Linked DNA regions of Arabidopsis thaliana. The protein of the gene in region 1 interacts with the protein of each later gene in a pairwise test. Each region holds a gene or a part of one and is shown in the gene's direction. Other genes may lie near its edges.

Region 1 (4,977 bases):
ATTTAGTGCATAACTTTTCTCAGATTTTCGATATATACAAGAATTTAACATAAGAAAAATCAAGACAAATGGACCTGGTTATAATCGGTTATCTGTTGTAAATATTATATTTCATATTCTTCTCCACTTCATAATTCTTATTGGAGTTCCTTCACCAAATGTTTGATGTTCCATTAAATTAATCTACCACTCTAATAAGAGGTATCGTACTACAAATTACACTTCATAAACAAGAGAAGAACATAAATTTGAATTTTTTTAAAAAAACATATGCGTTATAACACCAAACAGTAACGGACTAGCTGATCCTTGAATTTATATTAGTTGCAAAAATTTATATATCGAAATTGAAACATGAATTTTTAAAATTATTAGAAAATGTATGATGTTGTCTAAATGTGACATTACAAATACATGATGTTGTTTAAAAATTATTATAAAACAACCAAAGTTTGGCGTCATTCTGGTAAACGCACTTAATGAATTTATATACAGTTAAAGATTTTAACATCAAATTTTAAAATGACAACTTAACTAAAATTTGTATCCTAATATTTTTACTAGAGAAACTCACACATATTTTTCAAACAAATGATTAGTTATATATCCTTCGATAATAGGTATTGTGTAAAACTGTGTGGTTTGCACAAGTGATCCCTCGATATTCTTTCTGCTAAAGATCGACTTCCCACAGTTTCGATATCTCGGGTTTGGGTGCAATAGCATATGCTTGTTTAGTATGCAGATAATCGTATGAGAGAGTCAGAGAGATCATCTATTTTTCATGATATGGTCTGAGCTAATCGATCATTTGTTATTTATACTCGATAACGTTCTAATTTGTATGATTTTTCAGCCTTGATCTATCACAAAATGGAGATAATGAAATGGTAGTCATAAGAAAGGTAATGATCCCCTTGACATGCTTATTATAACACAAAAAGTAATCGCTACTGATTAGCTTACCCTATGATTTGAATCATATAACTTTATACTAATTGTCTAAGTGTGATGATATAATGTATATGATGTCATTTATAACTTATTAGTAAAAATATAAAGTTCTTCATCATTGTCATAAGGAGTTAATTGGATATACATCAAAAAATTTCCTAAATTTTTAGAAATTATTAATCAAGTTATAATAGAAATTATTAAATAAAATATATGATGTTTTCTAAATGTGACGATACAAAATACATGATGTTGTTCAAAACTTATTAGACAGAAACCAAAGTACATCATCATTGTGATGAAGACTTTAATGGATTTATACATTTCAAAGTTTTAAACATTACTTATTTAAATGAAAAATTGAGCTAAAATTTGTATACTTATATGTTGACCATAGAAATACTTCTATATAATTTTAGACAAGTTGTCTATACATATATATATATATATATATATATATATATATGTATTTACACAAAAATCAAGTTTTCTTAATGTAACAATATAAAAATATAAAATATCTAATGTTGTTTAAAAATTATTTAGACCAAAAAAAAAAAAAACTGTAATCAAACTTTCATTGGATTATATCTAACTCTAAACATGAATTTTTATACAATGACATGTTCAATAAAATTCCCATTTCATAGTTTGACCAGAAAAAATGCTTGCAGATTTGTTAAAATCTCTACTTATGCAAAACCATTGAATCACACCAGATTTTGATTTGTAGTACTTTAAAAATATTAATTGAACACAACATAACTTTAACAAAAAAGATCTTTATAAAAAAAAAACTTTCTAAAATGACATTAATTAACACAAATTAGTCAATTCAAACAATCCAATAAAATCAAAGTAAACCCTTAATTGTTTTTTTTTTCCATTTTACAAAATGTTAAACATTAATTACATCAACTAGCAACACGAATCTCTCAATCTCTCATGTCTCAATGAGTCTTTGACCACTAGTCTTCATCACTCTCTCTCCCTCCTATATATACCAATCACACCCTTCTCCAACCACACTCTCATTCTCTCTCTCTTCTCACCACTTCAAAACAAGACACTCGTAAAAGAGTTCTTGAACTTCACAAAACAATTGTCAGATTTTCAAGAAAAACTTTATAAAACAAAAAACATTTCATTCTTTCTCTCTCTCTCTCTCACTGCTCAATGATCTCGTTTTCTCACTAAACCAACTCGTTTCTTCTTACTTTCTTTAACTCGGATCTACAAAAAACCATGTCGGAAACTAACACAACCGATGCCAAGACTGTTCCAGCAGAAGCAGAGAAGAAGAAAGAACAGAGTTTACCATTCTTTAAACTCTTTTCTTTCGCTGATAAATTTGATTATCTCTTAATGTTCGTTGGTTCTCTTGGTGCCATTGTTCATGGCTCTTCCATGCCTGTCTTCTTTTTACTCTTTGGTCAAATGGTTAATGGATTTGGTAAAAACCAAATGGATTTACATCAAATGGTTCATGAAGTCTCTAGAGTAAGTCTTTTTTTTCTTTCTTGTTTTTATCAAATTAGATCCAAGATCTGATCTAATTTTTGTGTTTGTGAAATTTTGCAGTATTCTCTATATTTCGTCTACTTGGGTTTGGTCGTTTGCTTCTCTTCTTACGCAGGTTTGTTTCTTACAAATCCAATCTTCTTTTTCTTTATTCTTCAATCAAGAAACCCAGTAATTAAATCACATTATAAACAAGATCAAGAAATTTTTTGCACAAAAAAAAAAGAAAACAAGATCAAGAAATTAATAAAGTTTAGATTAAACATTTGCATTATTTTCTTTTTTTTGGTTCAACCAATTAACCCATTAACATAAATTAAATCAGATTATTAGGCAAGAAATCTAAAGGTGTATTTTTTGAGTTTTATTTGATTCTTCCTCAAAGTGACCATTTACTCTGAAGGTAAAACATTTTTTTTTACTCTACAACAAAAACCCAACTTCTTTTTTTGTTTGCTTCAAAATTATATTAAAAAAAGAAAGCTTAAACTTTGTTTAAAATCTTGTTTTTTTTGTCATTCGCTTTTGATTAGAACTAAAAAAACCATTTTTATAGAATGTTGTTTACATAAGTGATGTAATGGGGTTCGGAACGAACTTTCCGTGCCAACCGCTTTTATAGACAAGAAATCTAAAGGTGTAATTTTTGAGTTTTTATTTGATTCTTCCACAAAGTGATCATTTACTCTGGTAAACATTTTTTTACTCTACAACAAAAACCCAACTTTTTTATGTTTGCTTCAATAAATAAAAACCTAGAAACAGAAATCACAATCTAGAGAGAATCAAAATTATATATAAAAAAAAAACACTTCAAATTTTTAAAAATTTTAATATGTTAAAAGGATAAGCCAAGTCCACGTGATTCATGGACTACTACTTTGTCTATATCGAAAAAAAAAAAAAAATGGGCATCTCTCTCACATTTATTACAACTTCATAAAAATTCTTGTAATAATAACCATAATTTTTTGTTAAATAATTTTACAGAGATAGCATGTTGGATGTATTCTGGAGAAAGACAAGTAGCAGCATTAAGGAAGAAATATCTTGAAGCAGTATTAAAACAAGACGTTGGGTTCTTTGATACTGATGCTAGAACTGGTGACATTGTCTTTAGTGTTTCTACTGATACTCTTCTTGTTCAAGATGCCATTAGTGAAAAGGTAACCATTTTTTTTTTTACTACCAACAAAATCTAGTATTTACCGGCGGGTCCCATTTTTTTCATGATCAATCTTTATCAAAGTTTTGGGTCCGTTTATGTTAGCAACCGTCGTTTATCTTGCGCCTCAGGTGGTTAGGGAAGAAAAAAGACTATAGATTGATTTTTTTTTTTGTTAAAATAAAAGTTGGATTTTTTTCATAAGATTGTGAAAATAAGTAATTTTTTTTTACAAATTTGCTATAGAAATAGAGGATTTTTTTCACTATTTAACTAAAACTTAAATGATATAGTACTCATTTTCTTACATTTTTAATATAAAAATAGCTTCTTTTTTTCCATTGTGAAAAATATTTATTATGCAAAATAATGTTTCTTTAACAAGTAAAATAAATATTTGTTATTAAAAAAAATGTGTAAAGTACCTTCAAATTTTAATAGTACATTTTATCTAAAACTGTTTTTTTTTTTGCAATTTGGTCCTGTCTCTGTGGTGCACGTTAGCAAGCACGAGCTAACATGCACTGGGTCCCCTAGTTTCATTATTATCATCACTCTTTTTTATTGTTGATGAAGTGAATTAATAACAGAGTAGTTGAAAAAAAATTGAATTTCTCAGGTTGGAAACTTTATACATTACCTCTCAACATTTTTGGCGGGATTAGTAGTTGGATTTGTATCAGCATGGAAATTAGCTTTGTTAAGTGTTGCTGTGATTCCCGGAATCGCTTTCGCCGGAGGTTTATACGCTTATACACTCACCGGAATTACTTCAAAGAGCCGTGAATCTTATGCTAACGCCGGTGTTATCGCCGAGCAGGTAAATAAAGATTAAAGTTTGTTCCTTTATTTGTTTTATTTAATGCCCACCAACTGTTCGACGTAATGCTTTTTAACTGTTCTTAGGCTTGCTTCTTTGTACTTGATCTCTCAAATGATTTTTTTTTTTTTTCATTGCTTCTTATGCAATCCAAAGACTTAAACAGTGTTTTCACTAATTCAAAATCTTTGCTTTTCTTTGGTCGGTTAATGATTGATGTTTTGGTTTCTCAGGCAATTGCTCAAGTTCGAACTGTTTATTCTTATGTTGGAGAGAGTAAGGCACTTAATGCGTATTCGGATGCGATTCAGTATACGCTTAAGCTCGGTTATAAAGCGGGGATGGCTAAAGGGTTGGGTTTAGGATGTACTTATGGAATAGCTTGTATGTCATGGGCTTTGGTGTTTTGGTATGCTGGAGTTTTTATTCGGAATGGACAAACCGATGGAGGAAAGGCGTTTACTGCTATATTCTCTGCTATTGTTGGTGGAATGTAAGAATTCAAAACATAACAATG
Region 2 (6,974 bases), on another chromosome or scaffold:
GCGCGAGAGCTGCGCGTTCAAATCATAAAAAGCCGACTTGCTATAAAAGCAAACTTGTTGATGATGGTTCAAAATTTCGAAAAGCTTTTCAAATTTCTCTTCATATCGCGCGCTCAGTCAAAAAGCAGAGCCAAAGATGAAGAAACCGTATAAAGGAAAGTTGCCGACGGGAACTCCGTCTCTGGCAATGTCAACACTCGTCGTCGTTGCTTCCCTTCTCGCCGGAGCCTCCGTTGTCCACAACATCTACAAACCAGATCTCGTAAGCTTCACCTTCTCTTTCTGTACATATGTTAGGGTTCTCAAATGTATTAGGTTTGCTCACTTTCTTCGTTCTTGATAATGCCCATAAGCGTGATCGGTTTAAAACCATTCATTTCGTTCTCTGGCTCTGTGATCTCTCTTTTATTGTAATGCACATAAGGTGTTCGATGAATTGCCCATGAGAGATTTGTAATCTGATTGCTTTTTACTTTTGTGCAGAGTTTACCACCGTTGGAAAGTAGTGAAGTGGCCAAGAAGGATGATTCTGTAAACAAAGTTTGAATCTTTCAATAGTTTCATCCTGTTTTATCAGGCTACATTCACTTTGGTTGTTCTCTTTCAATTCATGAGTTAACAAAAAAACATGGATAAAGTTTAAAACTGAGATCACTTATTAAAGGCTTTTATTCTTCTTCCTCTTGTGAAGATGTAAAGAAGAACAAACTCTTTTTAGGTTTCTTGTTGGTCAATTCACCGTTTTTTTTAAAGAGATATAAGAAATCGCGATGATCGTGTAGATGACATAGAGACCAACGAATTGATGGAGTCTTTGCTACGGATTGTGGAAAACCATGTCTTCGATACATATTGGAACTTCAAAAGAGATTTTAGTGATAATCTAGTTAGTATCTCCATCGTTAGATCCATAGGTCCATTAGGCCCAAACGCCCAATCACGTGGCGTGATAAATACGTTAACAATTGCAATATGAAGAAAACACGACAATTAAATATGGAAGAGAGGCTAATTATTCATCGGTCCAATTGCCAATGTCTTTGACTGTAGTTAATAATAAATCATTAAGAGATTTTCGTTTAAAAACAAAAATACACCGTTTCAAGATTAAAAGATAAGTTAATTACAATTGTATTTTTCCTGATTAAAAATCAGATGTTTACAGGGAACCGCAGATCGCTCAGAAAGTGTAGTAAGATGCTCGCAAAAACCATGTGCATGTCCATCAACCTTCGCCGTCTCAATAGCTTACACAAAAATCGTTTTTGTTTTCTTATTAATATAAAACCTAATCTAAATTTACAAATTTGTTTTCTTATTAATATAAAATCTAATCTAAATTTACAAATTTGTATTACACGTACAAGTGGATCCAAGTATCTGACTCTACAGATATTTTGAATCTAACATTTGTGTAATTATAATTTATAATCTCTGAAGCATTTAATTTTACTTACAAATAATGTTAGACCACGAGACAGAAGGTAAACCAATCTTCCTTATCCCAAGATAAGATTCTTCAAATTAAATATAACGGCTTTTTGCAGAAGTAATAAAGATAGAAGGAATATCTAGTATCAACGGAAAAAAAGAAAAAATCTAGAGCACTTCGAAAAATTATGGACCAAAGAAGATTCAGACTGAAATTATTACTGTATTAGTATTTGTCCATTCACAAAATGCCGAGGAAGAAAAAAGGCATTTTGGTTTATATTTTGTTTATTTGATATTCAAATGTCCAACGATCCTCTCTAGCTAAGCTTAGCTATAATTCAATGTTTGAACACGAATCCCATTATTTTAACACAAACAACATTAATTAAATATCGTCTCAAGGAACTTCACTTCCTTGTCCATAAATACGTTATTTCACACCACATATACTCATCTATATCTCTATTTTTCTTCTTCTTCTCTCTCTCGCCGGAAAAAGTAAATCAAAATGATCACCGGCAAAGACATGTACGATGTTTTAGCGGCTATGGTGCCGCTATACGTTGCTATGATATTAGCCTATGGTTCGGTACGGTGGTGGGGGATATTCACACCGGACCAATGTTCCGGTATAAACCGGTTCGTTGCGGTTTTCGCGGTTCCTCTTCTCTCTTTCCATTTCATCTCCTCCAATGATCCTTATGCAATGAATTACCACTTCCTCGCTGCTGATTCTCTTCAGAAAGTCGTTATCCTCGCCGCACTCTTTCTTTGGCAGGCCCGTCTCTTTCAATAATCTCTCTATGCACATAATCTATCTTCATTAAGTGATGGTAGTCTACTAGTAATTGCTATGATGGTCAATTTTTACTCGAAAACATATTGGTTATCGAAAGCTTATAGTATAGTAACTATGTCATTTAACACGGGTAAATATTTTAGTTAACATTTTAGCTCTTTTGTAATATGTGTCTCTAAACACACACATTCTCATGTTTGTGTATATATTGTGATATTATTTTTTAGGCGTTTAGCCGCAGAGGAAGCCTAGAATGGATGATAACGCTCTTTTCACTATCAACACTGCCTAACACGTTGGTAATGGGAATCCCATTGCTTAGGGCGATGTACGGAGACTTCTCCGGTAACCTAATGGTGCAGATCGTGGTGCTTCAGAGCATCATATGGTATACATTAATGCTCTTCTTGTTTGAGTTCCGTGGGGCTAAGCTTCTCATCTCCGAGCAGTTCCCGGAGACGGCTGGTTCAATTACTTCCTTCAGAGTTGACTCTGATGTTATCTCTCTTAATGGCCGTGAACCCCTCCAGGTATGAATTTTTCACTGATGACCTTTTTCATATGTTTGTTCAAATTAACGGACCGGTTAACTCAAGTAAACTAGAAAATGGGTAGTTACTAGTTACGACATGACTACATGTCATTTTGGGATTCCTTTTTGCCTATGTAAATCTATAACAAATTTTGAGTTTTGTCTGAGTTCCTTTTTCAGAAGTCAAAAATAATCTTCAAAGTGACGTGTTACATTATTCACGCAGAATTTAATAATTAGTACAATATAAGAAATATCAAGTTATTAACTATAGTCTAGTTGAATTTTCATTCTTTTTGTACCGATTCGGTTATATCCGGTTTAAATCACATCGACTCGAAATTCATCACCTAAAAATATGGATTTATCTTTCATTAGACCGATGCGGAGATAGGAGACGACGGAAAGCTACACGTGGTGGTTCGAAGATCAAGTGCCGCCTCATCAATGATCTCTTCATTCAACAAATCTCACGGCGGAGGACTTAACTCCTCCATGATAACGCCGCGAGCTTCAAATCTCACCGGCGTAGAGATTTACTCCGTTCAATCGTCACGAGAGCCGACGCCGAGAGCTTCTAGCTTTAATCAGACAGATTTCTACGCAATGTTTAACGCAAGCAAAGCTCCAAGCCCTCGTCACGGTTACACTAATAGCTACGGCGGCGCTGGAGCTGGTCCAGGTGGAGATGTTTACTCACTTCAGTCTTCTAAAGGCGTGACGCCGAGAACGTCAAATTTTGATGAGGAAGTTATGAAGACGGCGAAGAAAGCAGGAAGAGGAGGCAGAAGTATGAGTGGGGAATTATACAACAATAATAGTGGTATGAATTTTTTAATATATATATATATATATATTTATTTTTTATTTATTTTTTTAAAAAAATATATTTTGCTTCTTTATAAATTTAAATAGATATAAGAATCGATTCAGATATTATTATTATTTTCCATCAGTCACCGGTGATTATAAGTGGGATATTATTAGGTTTAAAAAGGTTTAAAAGTTAAGTAAAGAGTTCATCAAATAATTTTGCGTAATTATTTTTTTCTTTTAACAAAATAATAATAATTTAGTATATCACTTCCAAAACTCTTAGGTTTTTAAACTGATTATAGTTTTGGAAAACAAAATATTAATTTTGTATTTTGAAATTTAAATGTGATTTTTTCATTATAATGTAATGTTTTAAAATAAAATTTTCTATAATTTATGGTCAGTTCCGTCGTACCCACCGCCGAACCCAATGTTCACGGGGTCAACGAGTGGAGCAAGTGGAGTCAAGAAAAAGGAAAGTGGTGGCGGAGGAAGCGGTGGCGGAGTAGGAGTAGGAGGACAAAACAAGGAGATGAACATGTTCGTGTGGAGTTCGAGTGCTTCTCCGGTGTCGGAAGCCAACGCGAAGAATGCTATGACCAGAGGTTCTTCCACCGATGTATCCACCGACCCTAAAGTTTCTATTCCTCCTCACGACAACCTCGCTACTAAAGGTTTATTAATCTCCAACTTATTTCATATTTTTTTTTATCATTACTTGCCACGCTTCTATTTTTTTTTTAACTTTTAGGAAAAATGTATAAAGCTCAATATCGGTTCTAAGTTTTTTTTATAGTTTTTTCAAAGTTTCAAAACTTATGAAAACTTTTAAACTAATTAAAGTAGATTTTTATTTGGTTCCGTACGGCTTTCTATAAGTTAGTTTTTTGGTCGAAGAAAGGTCATAATAAATTTAGTTTAGTATTTTCTGTGATATTTAATTATAATTATATTCATACTTGGTGATGACAGCGATGCAGAATCTGATAGAGAACATGTCACCGGGAAGAAAAGGGCATGTGGAAATGGACCAAGACGGTAATAACGGGGGAAAGTCACCTTACATGGGCAAAAAAGGTAGCGACGTGGAAGACGGCGGTCCCGGTCCTAGGAAACAGCAGATGCCGCCGGCGAGTGTGATGACGAGACTAATTCTGATAATGGTTTGGAGAAAACTCATTCGAAACCCTAACACTTACTCTAGTCTCTTTGGCCTTGCTTGGTCCCTTGTCTCTTTCAAGTAAGTACTAATAATAATGTCACAATCATATAACATAACAATATATTTGGGCAATTGCTTGATGTTGTTGATCATTTTATGGGACAGGTGGAATATAAAGATGCCAACGATAATGAGTGGATCGATTTCGATATTATCTGATGCTGGTCTTGGAATGGCTATGTTTAGTCTTGGTATAGTTCCCTTCATATATATATTTAGTTATAGTCTTTGGTGCTTTTTTTTTTGCTAATTATTGATACATATAGGTCTATTTATGGCATTGCAACCAAAGATTATTGCGTGCGGAAAATCAGTAGCAGGGTTTGCGATGGCCGTAAGGTTCTTGACTGGACCAGCCGTGATCGCAGCCACCTCAATAGCAATTGGTATTCGAGGTGATCTCCTCCATATCGCCATCGTTCAGGTGATTACTCTTTAGTCTTATATATATTTCAATCTAACTTACAGTTTGATGTTTTAGCTAGTGATGTTGGGTTTCTTTGAAAAATATAATTGATAAGAATATATATAATTGTATGTTTTGAAGGCTGCTCTTCCTCAAGGAATCGTTCCTTTTGTTTTCGCCAAAGAATATAACGTCCATCCTGATATTCTCAGCACTGCGTAAGTTATTTAAGTTATAAAATATTTAATTTTCATTCTTAAACTTCATTTTAATACTATATATAAGATATTAATTTGGTATTCAAACTATACAAAGTTACAGAGATCTCCTAAGCTAAAAACTTGATATTATTTTTCAGGGTTATATTCGGAATGCTGGTTGCTTTGCCTGTAACAGTACTCTACTACGTTCTTTTGGGGCTTTAAGTTATTATCAAAACGTATTTGCAAATAAAAGGCGATACGACCCAAAGGTGATTTTTTTTCAAACGAAAAAGAATAATTACAAGAACGAAAAAAGACTAATTCCAGGTCAGGCTTAGGTGTATGGGACCATGCAATGTCGCATTAATTAAATTATAGCATATGATAGTCGAAAATTTAGATAACTTTGTATAATTAATTATATGCACATGCATGTACGTGACTTTGTAGTTTTTGTTACATTTATTAAATTTTTGGGATGTGCAAGTACAATTATTTACTATTGATTAGTTTTTTCTATTTATCGATGGTCGTGAAGCATGTTATTAAATTACACTAATATTTCATCATATACTAGTCAAGTATTACTAGATCGCGCAGTCTGTTTAGATTAGATCTTGTGCTTTTCTAAATCTCCATACAATTCTTTATTTTGTTTTGGATCAAATGCACTAATACTTCCACATATAACCTTTTTATTTCATTTCTTTTGTCTTATATATTTATGTTTTTGTTTGTATGTAAAGTTAATTATGAACGTTATTTTTTTTGTTAAAAAATTATGAACGTAATATTCGGTTGAAGCTTGAAGGTAGTCGCATTTTAATTCGATGAGTAAAGAACAATCAAACTTATAATAGAATTTAATTTTCCTTTATTTTAGTATATACTTATCTGTCACCAATAAGATATCACTCGGACTATTTTTGGAGTGATACAAAGAATTTGCGTGGAGAAAGAAACATTTCAAATGAAAGCACTAGTCTAGACAATTGATTGTGTAGTAAGATAGTTGCTGATGATAAGTTTTGCGTTATAGACAAATTGTGCATATCTAACATGTGTGAATATCTTAACGAGTGATCAAACTTTTCAACCAAACTGTCCAAAGTTTTTATGAAATAGAAATTATTTTTCTTCTTTTTCCTTGCGTTTGATTAATTATGAGCTCCTCAAAACGTATCGGTGATCGGCGCTTGAATTTAAGTATGTAAATGTAATGTACTAGAAAAGATGGCTTGGCTCTGGAGGCGTTGACTGTGTAACGTGAAAACGATCACGTGGGGTATCAAAACGATGAGATATACGTTGGAACTCGCTCTTTGGTCGGAACGTAATTGAACGAACAACAACACATGAGAAATTCAATAACAATTCTTCTCTATATAGTTGTCCTGACCTCTGACTTATCTGACAATAGATCTTTTAATAGTTTACACGTAAAAATATTTATTATTCAATGAAGTGCGTAAGAGAAATAGCATATGTATACTAAGGGTAAAAGTATTTATACGTTTTGATGTTTTCAGAAGGTTTTGTGCATTGAGTAGGAGACAACATTT
Region 3 (6,122 bases), on another chromosome or scaffold:
TCCATTTTTCCCGTTTCAAGTGTTTGCTAAAAGATCAATTTTAATTTTCTCGTTTCAAGTATTTGCTAAAAGGTCATCCATCACCCATAACCATAAGTCAAGCCGTGCAAACATAGAGTATTAGAAAAAACGTTAATTTGAGTTCAATATTACACAAAGTCGCAGTTGTAACAAGGATTTGCACAACAAAAGATTGAAAGATTAATGGATTAGTGACAAATAATTTGAAAGATCCAAAATATCATTAACTATATGGAATGTGAAAAAATCCTGCAATTTTTTTTTTTTTTTTGCCGTGTTAAAAATTCAATTCTTTCAAAGAACCAATTTTAAAATTATTTGTCAGTAAAAAAAAATAGAAACTACTTGATTTATAATTTTTAATAGAAAAATGATGTTAAGTCATCAACTCTTTTATTTTTTCGTAACTTCTCAACATATTTACTTTATTCGGATTGCATAACCTACTTTTTTTGTGTGTATAGTCTCTTTAAGCGCAAGAAATGGCAAGGAAAGTCGAATTATATTAGTACTATATATTATTATTATGCTTAAAAAAAAGTTGAAAACATTGGAAAAATAAAAAGCTGGAAAGAAAAAAAAAAGAAGAACTGTGTTTGTATGGGATGATGAGAAAAATGAAGAGCAGACTGTTGATGGAATATTGTGTTTCCTCAAATATCAACACTCCTCATTATATCATCAACCCATTGCTTTTTGTACGGACTTTATTAGTAGTATTAAAGAACACATCAGACTGATTTGTGTAAGCAAACCAGAACCACCCTCTTTTCAACATTTTTCTTTCAAAAAACTTCTACGTATTTATGTTCAATAAAACTTTGTTACTAATTTTCTCAACGAAATATATTTTATAAAACTTTGTTAGTAATGTTATACAGTAAACAGTAAAAGAAAATAAGTTCCAAGATGAGCGATCAAAGGATTGAATAGTTCATAAATAATTCGTATGCGCAACTACAACTGTAAATGATAACCTATGCAATGATAACTCACACACACCCATCTCACATGAAAAAGTGATTTCGACCTTATGTTAGTGATATCACATCTTTTCTTTTATCTCCACCCACAAAGTCTTTGGTTAGGAACTAGTTTGTTCAATTGCAACCATTTTTCCAAAGACTTTCAACCTCTCTTCGGAGAAGACTTCTATCTTTAAAACCAAAATTTTCTAAGTTCATATAAACATCAAATCGAGCCTTATATCATCACTTCAATGTGTATTTATCTTCTGTTGTGATTTATCAATTGAAAGTCAATACCAAAAATCCCATCATACTAATCACAATAATTTATAGCAAAAATAAATTTAACAATTTTTAAACATGGTAAAAATATAAATTTAATAATTAGTATAGGGGATAAATTGATCAACCGAATAGATTAATTCATAATTTGAAAAGGCCAAAAAAAAAAGAGAGAGGCAAAAACAGAGGCTCTGCTTTGGACTCCGCAAAGCGCACAAGGCCGCCTCTTTCACTATCCCCAAAGCTCCACCACGCACCCATCAACCACCATTTTTATTTCGTTTTTATTACATTCAAAAAAACTTCTTTTTGTCGTATTTCAATCAAAATTACATCACACACACTATTATGTTGGAATGTTTAACAAAACAAATAAATATGTTGAGCTATTCCAATTTTACATTTAATGTTTTTTTACTCCTACACGTAAACTACTTTTGAATATAATATCTAGAAACTAACCAAATAATCGAAAACGAAAATAATAAAATCAGCAAACAGTTTTAGCTTCATTAACAAAATATATATATGTTTAATTAAAAAATATGGTATTTTCTCAACGGACAAAAAAATAAAATAAAAAGAATATAAAAATGTGGTCTCTTCTCAACACTCACTTTACTCTTTTTTCCCTCTTCACCACTTCTCTCTCAAACTAAAGACAAAAGCTCTTCTCTCTTCCCTCTCTCTTCTCCGGCGAACAAAAGATGATTACGGCGGCGGACTTCTACCACGTTATGACGGCTATGGTTCCGTTATACGTAGCTATGATCCTCGCTTACGGCTCTGTCAAATGGTGGAAAATCTTCACACCAGACCAATGCTCCGGCATAAACCGTTTCGTCGCTCTCTTCGCCGTTCCTCTCCTCTCTTTCCACTTCATCGCCGCTAACAACCCTTACGCCATGAACCTCCGTTTCCTCGCCGCAGATTCTCTCCAGAAAGTCATTGTCCTCTCTCTCCTCTTCCTCTGGTGCAAACTCAGCCGCAACGGTTCTTTAGATTGGACCATAACTCTCTTCTCTCTCTCGACACTCCCCAACACTCTAGTCATGGGGATACCTCTTCTCAAAGGCATGTATGGTAATTTCTCCGGCGACCTCATGGTTCAAATCGTTGTTCTTCAGTGTATCATTTGGTACACACTCATGCTCTTTCTCTTTGAGTACCGTGGAGCTAAGCTTTTGATCTCCGAGCAGTTTCCAGACACAGCAGGATCTATTGTTTCGATTCATGTTGATTCCGACATTATGTCTTTAGATGGAAGACAACCTTTGGAAACTGAAGCTGAGATTAAAGAAGATGGGAAGCTTCATGTTACTGTTCGTCGTTCTAATGCTTCAAGGTCTGATATTTACTCGAGAAGGTCTCAAGGCTTATCTGCGACACCTAGACCTTCGAATCTAACCAACGCTGAGATATATTCGCTTCAGAGTTCAAGAAACCCAACGCCACGTGGCTCTAGTTTTAATCATACTGATTTTTACTCGATGATGGCTTCTGGTGGTGGTCGGAACTCTAACTTTGGTCCTGGAGAAGCTGTGTTTGGTTCTAAAGGTCCTACTCCGAGACCTTCCAACTACGAAGAAGACGGTGGTCCTGCTAAACCGACGGCTGCTGGAACTGCTGCTGGAGCTGGGAGGTTTCATTATCAATCTGGAGGAAGTGGTGGCGGTGGAGGAGCGCATTATCCGGCGCCGAACCCAGGGATGTTTTCGCCCAACACTGGCGGTGGTGGAGGCACGGCGGCGAAAGGAAACGCTCCGGTGGTTGGTGGGAAAAGACAAGACGGAAACGGAAGAGATCTTCACATGTTTGTGTGGAGCTCAAGTGCTTCGCCGGTCTCAGATGTGTTCGGCGGTGGAGGAGGAAACCACCACGCCGATTACTCCACCGCTACGAACGATCATCAAAAGGACGTTAAGATCTCTGTACCTCAGGGGAATAGTAACGGTATAGTCCCTCTATAACTTTGTTGTTTTGTTTTCGCACCCTAATTTATTTTCTTTACAAAAACACCCCCAAAATTTCTCTATGTCCTTCGATATTTATGATTTGGTTAAGGGGTTCTTTAATTGTTTACATGTGTTGTTGCCTTACTTTAGACAACCAGTACGTGGAGAGGGAAGAGTTTAGTTTCGGTAACAAAGACGATGATAGCAAAGTATTGGCAACGGACGGTGGGAACAACATAAGCAACAAAACGACGCAGGCTAAGGTGATGCCACCAACAAGTGTGATGACAAGACTCATTCTCATTATGGTTTGGAGGAAACTTATTCGTAATCCCAACTCTTACTCCAGTTTATTCGGCATCACCTGGTCCCTCATTTCCTTCAAGTACTGTTTCAAACTTGTCTTATTTTCACTTTACTTTGGTTTTGGTCTACTATTTTAACCACTTTCTTGATGCATAAAGGGTCAGCCTTGAATGCGTATATGTTTGAAAGTTTTTTCTGATAGATTGAAGTAACAAAAGATTTGAGAAAGATCTCTTTATTGGAATTAAATTGATGTGGTCTGTGCAGGTGGAACATTGAAATGCCAGCTCTTATAGCAAAGTCTATCTCCATACTCTCAGATGCAGGTCTAGGCATGGCTATGTTCAGTCTTGGTCAGTTCCTTTTTCTCTTTTCTTTTATTTTTACCTCTTTTCATTTATTACATAATTAAATACCATAAAACAGTCAATTGTTCTCTTTATTTCTGACCTTCATTCTTTATGGTGTTTTTTAAATTTTAAATGATTTTAAGAAAAAAAACAAATCATGTGGAAGCATGATTCTCTCTGTTTTCTTTTTCTTTGAAGTTTTTTTGAAACATGTTTGTATCAAAAAAGCAAACAAAACTGGCTTCACAGCAGAAAGCATGCTCCACAGTTCTCTGCTTATCATCATAACATGTCTCTCCCTTGAATAGGAGGAACCATTTTTTATTTTCTCTTAAAGCAACAAACAATTTTTTTATACCTAATATTGACCCCCTTATCGATGAAAAAACTTTCTTTTTTACCTTGTTTATGTTTCAGTAGACTTCCATCAACTGATTATAAAATTTGTGCTTAATCATGACTTTATGGAATGAATAGTTTAGGATAACGATAATGATGATGTTAATGTTGTGGTGGTGGATCAGTGGCTGTGATGATTATTTTTATGTCACTCTTTTGCAGCTAAAAACAGTGTATAAACTTAAATTAACCAAAAAGCAAAACAATAATAAATTATTTGTTTAAATTTGTGGCTTTTTTTGGATGTGTTAAAGGGTTGTTCATGGCGTTAAACCCAAGAATAATAGCTTGTGGAAACAGAAGAGCAGCTTTTGCGGCGGCTATGAGATTTGTCGTTGGACCTGCCGTCATGCTCGTTGCTTCTTATGCCGTTGGCCTCCGTGGCGTCCTCCTCCATGTTGCCATTATCCAGGTAGTTTTTATTTGCATGATCAAATATGAAACACTTCTGTTGTGTCTACTGTCGTTTATACGATTTCTAACCATTATTTTTATTGACAACAAACAGGCAGCTTTGCCGCAAGGAATAGTACCGTTTGTGTTTGCCAAAGAGTATAATGTGCATCCTGACATTCTTAGCACTGCGTAAGTTTATTAATCTATTAAATAGTTTTGTTGTTATAACAATAAATTTTGTTGTAGAAAAAAAGTTAGGTTGGTTTTGCCTACATTAATTATGATTAGGTGTATATATAAATATATTTTTGTTAACGTGAGTTCTGATTTTTGTTGCAGGGTGATATTTGGGATGTTGATCGCGTTGCCCATAACTCTTCTCTACTACATTCTCTTGGGTCTATGAAGAGATATTACCAAAACACAGGGACTTTGTTTTATTCTTTTGTGGGATGATGAATTGTGAAAAGAACAATGCCCTTTTTGTTGAAAACCCACAAATTAAATCAGAAGCAGCTTTAGAGAATCTTTGAGGATAATTGAAGCTCTTGAAGAAGAGAAGAAGAAGGAGACTTAAGTAGGAGCTCAGCAAGTTTTACCTTTTTCTTAATTTTAATGAACATTCGTGTTTCCTCTTTTGGTAGGTTTTAGGAATTTGTAAAAGCTTTGGCTACTTTTAGTGAATTAAAAACGTTAAGGAAAATATCAAATTTTGTGTGCATGCTAAAAGTGAATTGGTGTGTATAGGTCTAAATCTCACCAAAATAAGAAGTGTTTTAGCCATTTCAAAAGTTAAGTTCACTTAACATTTCTATGTTTCGTTTGCCTAAATGTGAAAAATCAGAAACTAAAACAGTAAAGTACATCTTCCACAAAATGTTTGAGAAAGGGATTTCTACGGGGGATTTGGGAAAATTTAAAACGTAGTCATGAATATTAGAAACTTTACAATAGCTTAGGTGGGAAGGTATGAAATAGCATGTGACTATAACAACACAGACGACACGAGTATTGGATTCAACAGAACACTCGATTAAATATGTAGAAGATAGGGGACTTGGTGCATGCGTTACGTTATTCGACTTGGTCAAGATTCCTCTTCACTGCGTTTGTGGAATCTTGAAAGATTCGTTTAGTGTTGTCAATTGTGTATCCTTTTACCGATTCTTCTCAGAATCATTACATACCACTTAGATGCTGATGCTTTTTATGAATAAAAACAAACCTTCATATTTATACGACGATCTTATATAATGATAAATCAAATGTATAATACTTAACTTGGTTTGAATTGTACTCTCGACATGAAAATCATTTAATTGCTAAAAATATTGGCTTGATTTAAATATGTGGAATGATGAATTTTTATTTATTTTAGTTACCAAATGAATTTATTAGAAAGTGAAATGACTGTATACAAAACAAAAATAAAAATAAAATTGATA
Region 4 (4,923 bases), 3.3 Mb from region 1:
CTGTTGTACAAGCTGGACCGTTTCCGTCTTCTGGTGGGGTTTATGAGGCTTTGCCTAGCTTTAGAGATGTTCCTATATCGGAGAAACCGAATCTCTTTATCGGGAAGTTGAGTATGTGCTGTGTTGTTTTTGACTTTAGTGATCCGTCTAAGAACCTTAAGGAGAAAGAGATTAAGAGGCAGACATTGCTTGAGCTTGTTGATTATGTTGCATCAGTTGGTTTTAAGTTTAACGATGTTTCGATGCAAGAGTTAACGAAGATGGTAGCGGTTAATCTGTTTAGAACTTTTCCTTCTGCGAATCACGAGAGTAAAATTCTTGAAATACATGATATGGATGATGAAGAACCTTCTTTGGAGCCAGCTTGGCCTCATGTTCAAGTTGTGTATGAGATTCTTCTCAGATTCGTGGCTTCTCCCATGACTGATGCAAAGCTTGCCAAGAGATATATTGACCATTCTTTTGTCTTGAAGCTCTTAGACTTGTTTGATTCTGAAGATCAAAGAGAGAGGGAATATCTAAAAACTATTCTGCATCGGGTGTACGGGAAGTTCATGGTGCATCGACCTTACATCAGAAAGGCGATAAACAATATCTTCTACAGATTCATATCCGAGACTGAAAAGCATAATGGCATTGCGGAGTTGCTAGAGATTCTTGGAAGTATAATTAATGGTTTTGCTTTGCCTTTAAAAGAAGAGCACAAGCTCTTCCTTTTGCGAGCCTTGATTCCTCTCCACAAGCCTAAATGTTCATCAGTCTATCACCAACAGCTTTCGTATTGCATTGTTCAGTTTGTAGAAAAGGACTTCAAGCTCGCTGATACCGTTATTAGAGGTCTTTTAAAATATTGGCCTGTGACTAACAGCTCAAAGGAAGTTATGTTTCTTGGAGAGTTAGAAGAAGTCTTGGAAGCAACTCAAGCCGCTGAGTTTCAACGTTGTATGGTTCCATTATCCCGACAAATTGCTCGATGCCTCAACAGTTCACATTTCCAGGTTCGAGTCTTTGACTATCATCACAACTTCATATCTATCTCTCTTGATAAAGTCTTGTACCTATATATGAAGTTGTACTTTTTGTTTGTCAGGTTGCTGAAAGAGCATTGTTTCTATGGAACAACGATCACATAAGAAACCTGATCACTCAGAACCATAAAGTGATAATGCCTATAGTCTTCCCAGCTCTTGAGAGAAACACGCGTGGACATTGGAACCAAGCAGTTCAAAGTCTGACTATAAACGTGAGGAAAGTATTATGCGAGATTGACCAAGTTCTTTTCGACGAGTGTTTAGCCAAATTCCAAGTAGAAGAAGTGAATAAAACAGAGGTTAAAGCGAAACGGGAAAGGACATGGCAACGGTTAGAAGATTTAGCTACTTCAAAGACCGTTGTAACCAACGAGGCAGTACTGGTTCCAAGATTTGTGTCCTCAGTCAATCTTACTACAAGCAGCTCTGAGTCCACAGGGTCGTAGTAGGCTCTCGTAGGTTACTATGTACTTGTAACAAATATTTGTGGTCACTATAGAAATGGTTCTTGAGAGACGACTGTATAATTATTTTTTTAAATTATAATCTTTTGGGTCAAATTGAGAATATTTGATATTATTTTACTGAATTATAATAAACGCCGTTAAAACTCTCGTTAGTTAACGGCTGACTCTGAAGTGAAAACTGAAAAGTCGAAGGGTCTCTTTATATTTTCAGAATCAAAATCTGAAATTTATCTCTCGGTCGATCCAGTCTTCGTGAGTGACTTCGACGACGACGACGAGTCACACTACTCTTGAGCTTCTCATACTTCGTAAGTTCACTCTCCTCTTCTCTAAATTGACAAACTTTTTCTTCGTTTTCTGCTATTATTGACGACGAGACTTGATTTTGTTTTGAAATGAAATGGTTCAAGTAGCTGACTTCGACTATGTTCTTTTGGGTTTTTGTCATTGAATCTTACTTGTCTGATTTGGTCGATGTTTAATCAATTCAACACTTAAAGATTCAATTTTTGGATTGACACTTGCACATTTTTATTCAGACCCAGGTTGATTTGGGAAATAATGGATGAATCTCTGGAGCATCAAACTCAAACACATGGTAAGTAAATTTTCATAGATTTAATCTCTCTGAATACATATATATGACTTCAATATGTTTGATTGGAGTTTTTTTGTTGTCCCATATTCAATTGGATGCTTTGTTAAAGGATAAATGTCTATCAAATTATGTTGACTGCGTTATTCTTTCTAAATCATATTGTGAATCTTGGAACAAAGCATGTATACAACAAATTTGTTAGACTTGATAACTCCTTTTCTGTTTGTTAAGAATTGAGAATGACTATTGGGGTTGACTAATGCATCTTTTGTGGCTCCAGACCAAGAGAGCGAAATAGTTACTGAAGGAAGTGCCGTTGTGCATAGTGAGCCATCTCAAGAGGGTAATGTTCCTCCTAAAGTTGATAGTGAAGCTGAGGTCTTGGATGAGAAAGTCAGTAAGCAGATTATAAAGGAAGGTCACGGTTCCAAACCATCCAAGTACTCTACATGCTTTTGTAAGTACCCTTTAGCTTTCTGTTGATTGGATGTTGATTTTTCGATTGCACTTGTTGGCCTATTGCTACTGTTTATTTGAATCTTTCTATCTGACCAATTTCATATTGGCCATAGTGCACTACAGGGCATGGACCAAAAACTCGCAGCACAAATTTGAGGATACATGGCATGAGCAGCAACCTATTGAATTGGTTCTTGGAAAAGGTATGTGGCTGTCGAATATGTACTCTACACCTCCATTTCGTTAGATGAATCGTCATTGGTAAATTTGATGAGTTAGCTTGTGTATTATATGAACCCAATGAGATGGATATTTGGGAGGAAAAAAGATTGAGTTTTGTATTTTTTTTGCTTCAATGCTGATTAGCCCATTTTAACGTCACTATACAATTTTTTTTATAAAAAAGATTGTGCACTAAGAGTGAAATGTTGTCTGTGAGACAGAGAAAAAAGAACTAGCCGGTTTAGCCATCGGTGTTGCTAGCATGAAGTCTGGTGAACGTGCGCTTGTGCATGTTGGCTGGGAATTAGCTTATGGGAAAGAAGGAAACTTTTCTTTTCCGAATGTTCCACCTATGGCAGACTTGTTATATGAGGTGGAAGTTATTGGGTTTGATGAAACAAAGGAGGTAAGTTATTTCCTATACCATCATCTTGTTTCCTTACCAAGACGACTCCACATCCAAGCTTTATCCCAACCTCCTTGCTTACCTCTCTGACTTAGATGATGTATTGAACAGGGAAAAGCTCGCAGTGATATGACTGTAGAGGAAAGGATTGGTGCAGCAGACAGAAGAAAAATGGATGGGAATTCTCTTTTTAAGGAGGAGAAACTGGAGGAAGCCATGCAACAGTATGAAATGGTTATGCATCTCTCTCTATCTCTATCTCTCTTTCCAACAATTACGGTCAAAGTTTAGGTTTTCAGGCATACTTAGTGAGTCTGCTCGAGGCTCTTGTGTCTTCTTTCGGCTTTTGATTAGTCATGGTTTTGCTGTTTCAGGCCATAGCATACATGGGGGACGATTTTATGTTTCAGCTGTATGGGAAGTACCAGGATATGGCTTTAGCAGTTAAAAACCCATGCCATCTTAACATAGCAGCTTGCCTCATCAAACTAAAACGATACGATGAAGCAATTGGTCACTGCAACATTGTAAGACTCATCAAACCATTCATTTGAAGAAAATCATTAAAGTTCATACTCGGTTTCTCGAAATCTAATCAAACTCAAAACCTTATCAGGTGTTGACAGAAGAAGAGAAAAACCCAAAAGCACTGTTCAGAAGAGGGAAAGCAAAGGCAGAGCTAGGACAGATGGACTCAGCACGTGATGATTTCCGAAAGGCACAAAAGTATGCTCCTGACGACAAGGCGATTAGAAGAGAGCTACGAGCACTTGCAGAGCAAGAGAAAGCCTTGTACCAAAAGCAGAAAGAAATGTACAAAGGAATATTCAAAGGGAAAGATGAAGGTGGTGCTAAGTCAAAGAGCCTTTTTTGGTTGATAGTGTTATGGCAATGGTTTGTTTCCCTTTTCTCCCGTATCTTTCGACGCCACAGAGTTAAAGCAGATTAATGTATGAAGAAGGGTAACAATTCAACTCTAAAAGACCAACGTGAAAGATCTACCCCCATTTCTTATTAGTGAGAATTTTGAAAAATATTTTATATAAGAAAAAAAAATAGTCTCTATTGTTTTCGATTATAAAGTAACTTTATATTTTGATCCAAAAAAATAAATTTTTAACAAAAAACATACAAAATTCGAACGTAAAATCTACTTCCTTCAACAGAAATGGCGGTCTTCATAGTTTTTGTCTTTGACCAAAGACTTTCAAATTCCAGCTGCTAGTTGCATTAAATGATCTTAGTATTATTAATTAATTAAGAAACTTCTCAACAATTAACAAACACTAATCAGTAATCATCATTCTCTTTAGTTGAAAAAAATAGTCAACGTTTGATTAAGTCAACCTTTTTCGTCTTTGAATCCATCTTCTTCCCCACAGAGCAACGACGAAACAAAAAAAACAGAGACCCTTCCTCTGGGGAATCTAAGGAAGCTTCAAAATGAAGCTAAAGATTTCTCTAATCGCTCCGATTCTTCTTCTCTTCTCATTCTTCTTCGCCGTGGAATCTAAGTGCAGGACTAGCTGTCCTTTAGCTCTAGCTTCGTACTATCTCGAGAACGGAACAACACTCTCCGTCATCAACCAAAACCTCAATTCTTCAATCGCGCCTTACGATCAAATCAATTTCGATCCAATCCTCAGGTACAACAGTAACATTAAAGACAAAGATAGAATCCAGATGGGCTCTAGGGTTCTTGTACCTTTCCCTTGCGAATGTCAACCTGGTGATTTCCTA

The links.
Region 2: the proteins of ABCB19 (region 1) and EIR1 interact in a two-hybrid assay, tested with the Arabidopsis thaliana proteins (one study listed by BioGRID).
Region 3: the proteins of ABCB19 (region 1) and PIN1 interact in binary tests that used the Arabidopsis thaliana proteins (3 or more experiments, as listed by UniProt).
Region 4: the proteins of ABCB19 (region 1) and TWD1 interact in a two-hybrid assay, tested with the Arabidopsis thaliana proteins (one study listed by BioGRID).

Annotation. Positions count from the first base shown.
Region 1 is NC_003074.8:10,874,509-10,879,485, reverse strand, and holds the start of ABCB19 (ATP binding cassette subfamily B19), read left to right. Parts: upstream 1-1,907; 5' UTR 1,908-2,199; coding exon 2,200-2,454; intron 2,455-2,535; coding exon 2,536-2,590; intron 2,591-3,465; coding exon 3,466-3,641; intron 3,642-4,259; coding exon 4,260-4,460; intron 4,461-4,693; coding exon 4,694-4,953; intron 4,954-4,977. UniProt on the Arabidopsis thaliana protein: Brassinosteroid exporter that, in conjunction with ABCB1, supports the accumulation of exogenous brassinosteroids (BR) in the apoplast, thus promoting BR signaling initiation involving the specific receptor BRI1 and required for plant growth and stress responses.
Region 2 is NC_003076.8:23,098,823-23,105,796, forward strand, and holds EIR1 (Auxin efflux carrier family protein), read left to right. Parts: upstream 1-1,693; 5' UTR 1,694-1,942; coding exon 1,943-2,212; exon of another isoform or gene 2,213-2,363; intron 2,364-2,460; coding exon 2,461-2,763; intron 2,764-3,143; coding exon 3,144-3,588; intron 3,589-3,985; coding exon 3,986-4,255; intron 4,256-4,553; coding exon 4,554-4,821; intron 4,822-4,908; coding exon 4,909-4,994; intron 4,995-5,069; coding exon 5,070-5,227; intron 5,228-5,350; coding exon 5,351-5,427; intron 5,428-5,567; coding exon 5,568-5,634; 3' UTR 5,635-6,406; downstream 6,407-6,974. Other genes in the region: AT5G57080 (uncharacterized protein), read left to right, coding at 137-262, 484-546. UniProt on the Arabidopsis thaliana protein: Acts as a component of the auxin efflux carrier. Seems to be involved in the root-specific auxin transport, and mediates the root gravitropism. Its particular localization suggests a role in the translocation of auxin towards the elongation zone.
Region 3 is NC_003070.9:27,657,794-27,663,915, forward strand, and holds PIN1 (Auxin efflux carrier family protein), read left to right. Parts: upstream 1-1,879; 5' UTR 1,880-1,978; coding exon 1,979-3,224; intron 3,225-3,376; coding exon 3,377-3,611; intron 3,612-3,799; coding exon 3,800-3,885; intron 3,886-4,535; coding exon 4,536-4,693; intron 4,694-4,789; coding exon 4,790-4,866; intron 4,867-5,016; coding exon 5,017-5,083; 3' UTR 5,084-5,460; downstream 5,461-6,122. UniProt on the Arabidopsis thaliana protein: Acts as a component of the auxin efflux carrier; this activity is enhanced when activated by D6PK-mediated phosphorylation.
Region 4 is NC_003074.8:7,618,234-7,623,156, reverse strand, and holds TWD1 (FKBP-type peptidyl-prolyl cis-trans isomerase family protein), read left to right. Parts: upstream 1-1,679; 5' UTR 1,680-1,806; intron 1,807-2,037; 5' UTR 2,038-2,059; coding exon 2,060-2,096; intron 2,097-2,376; coding exon 2,377-2,553; intron 2,554-2,668; coding exon 2,669-2,758; intron 2,759-2,998; coding exon 2,999-3,183; intron 3,184-3,294; coding exon 3,295-3,417; intron 3,418-3,557; coding exon 3,558-3,710; intron 3,711-3,799; coding exon 3,800-4,132; 3' UTR 4,133-4,306; downstream 4,307-4,923. Other genes in the region: AT3G21650 (Protein phosphatase 2A regulatory B subunit family protein), read left to right, coding at 1-998, 1,091-1,477; CERK1 (chitin elicitor receptor kinase 1), read left to right, coding at 4,627-4,923. UniProt on the Arabidopsis thaliana protein: PPIases accelerate the folding of proteins. It catalyzes the cis-trans isomerization of proline imidic peptide bonds in oligopeptides.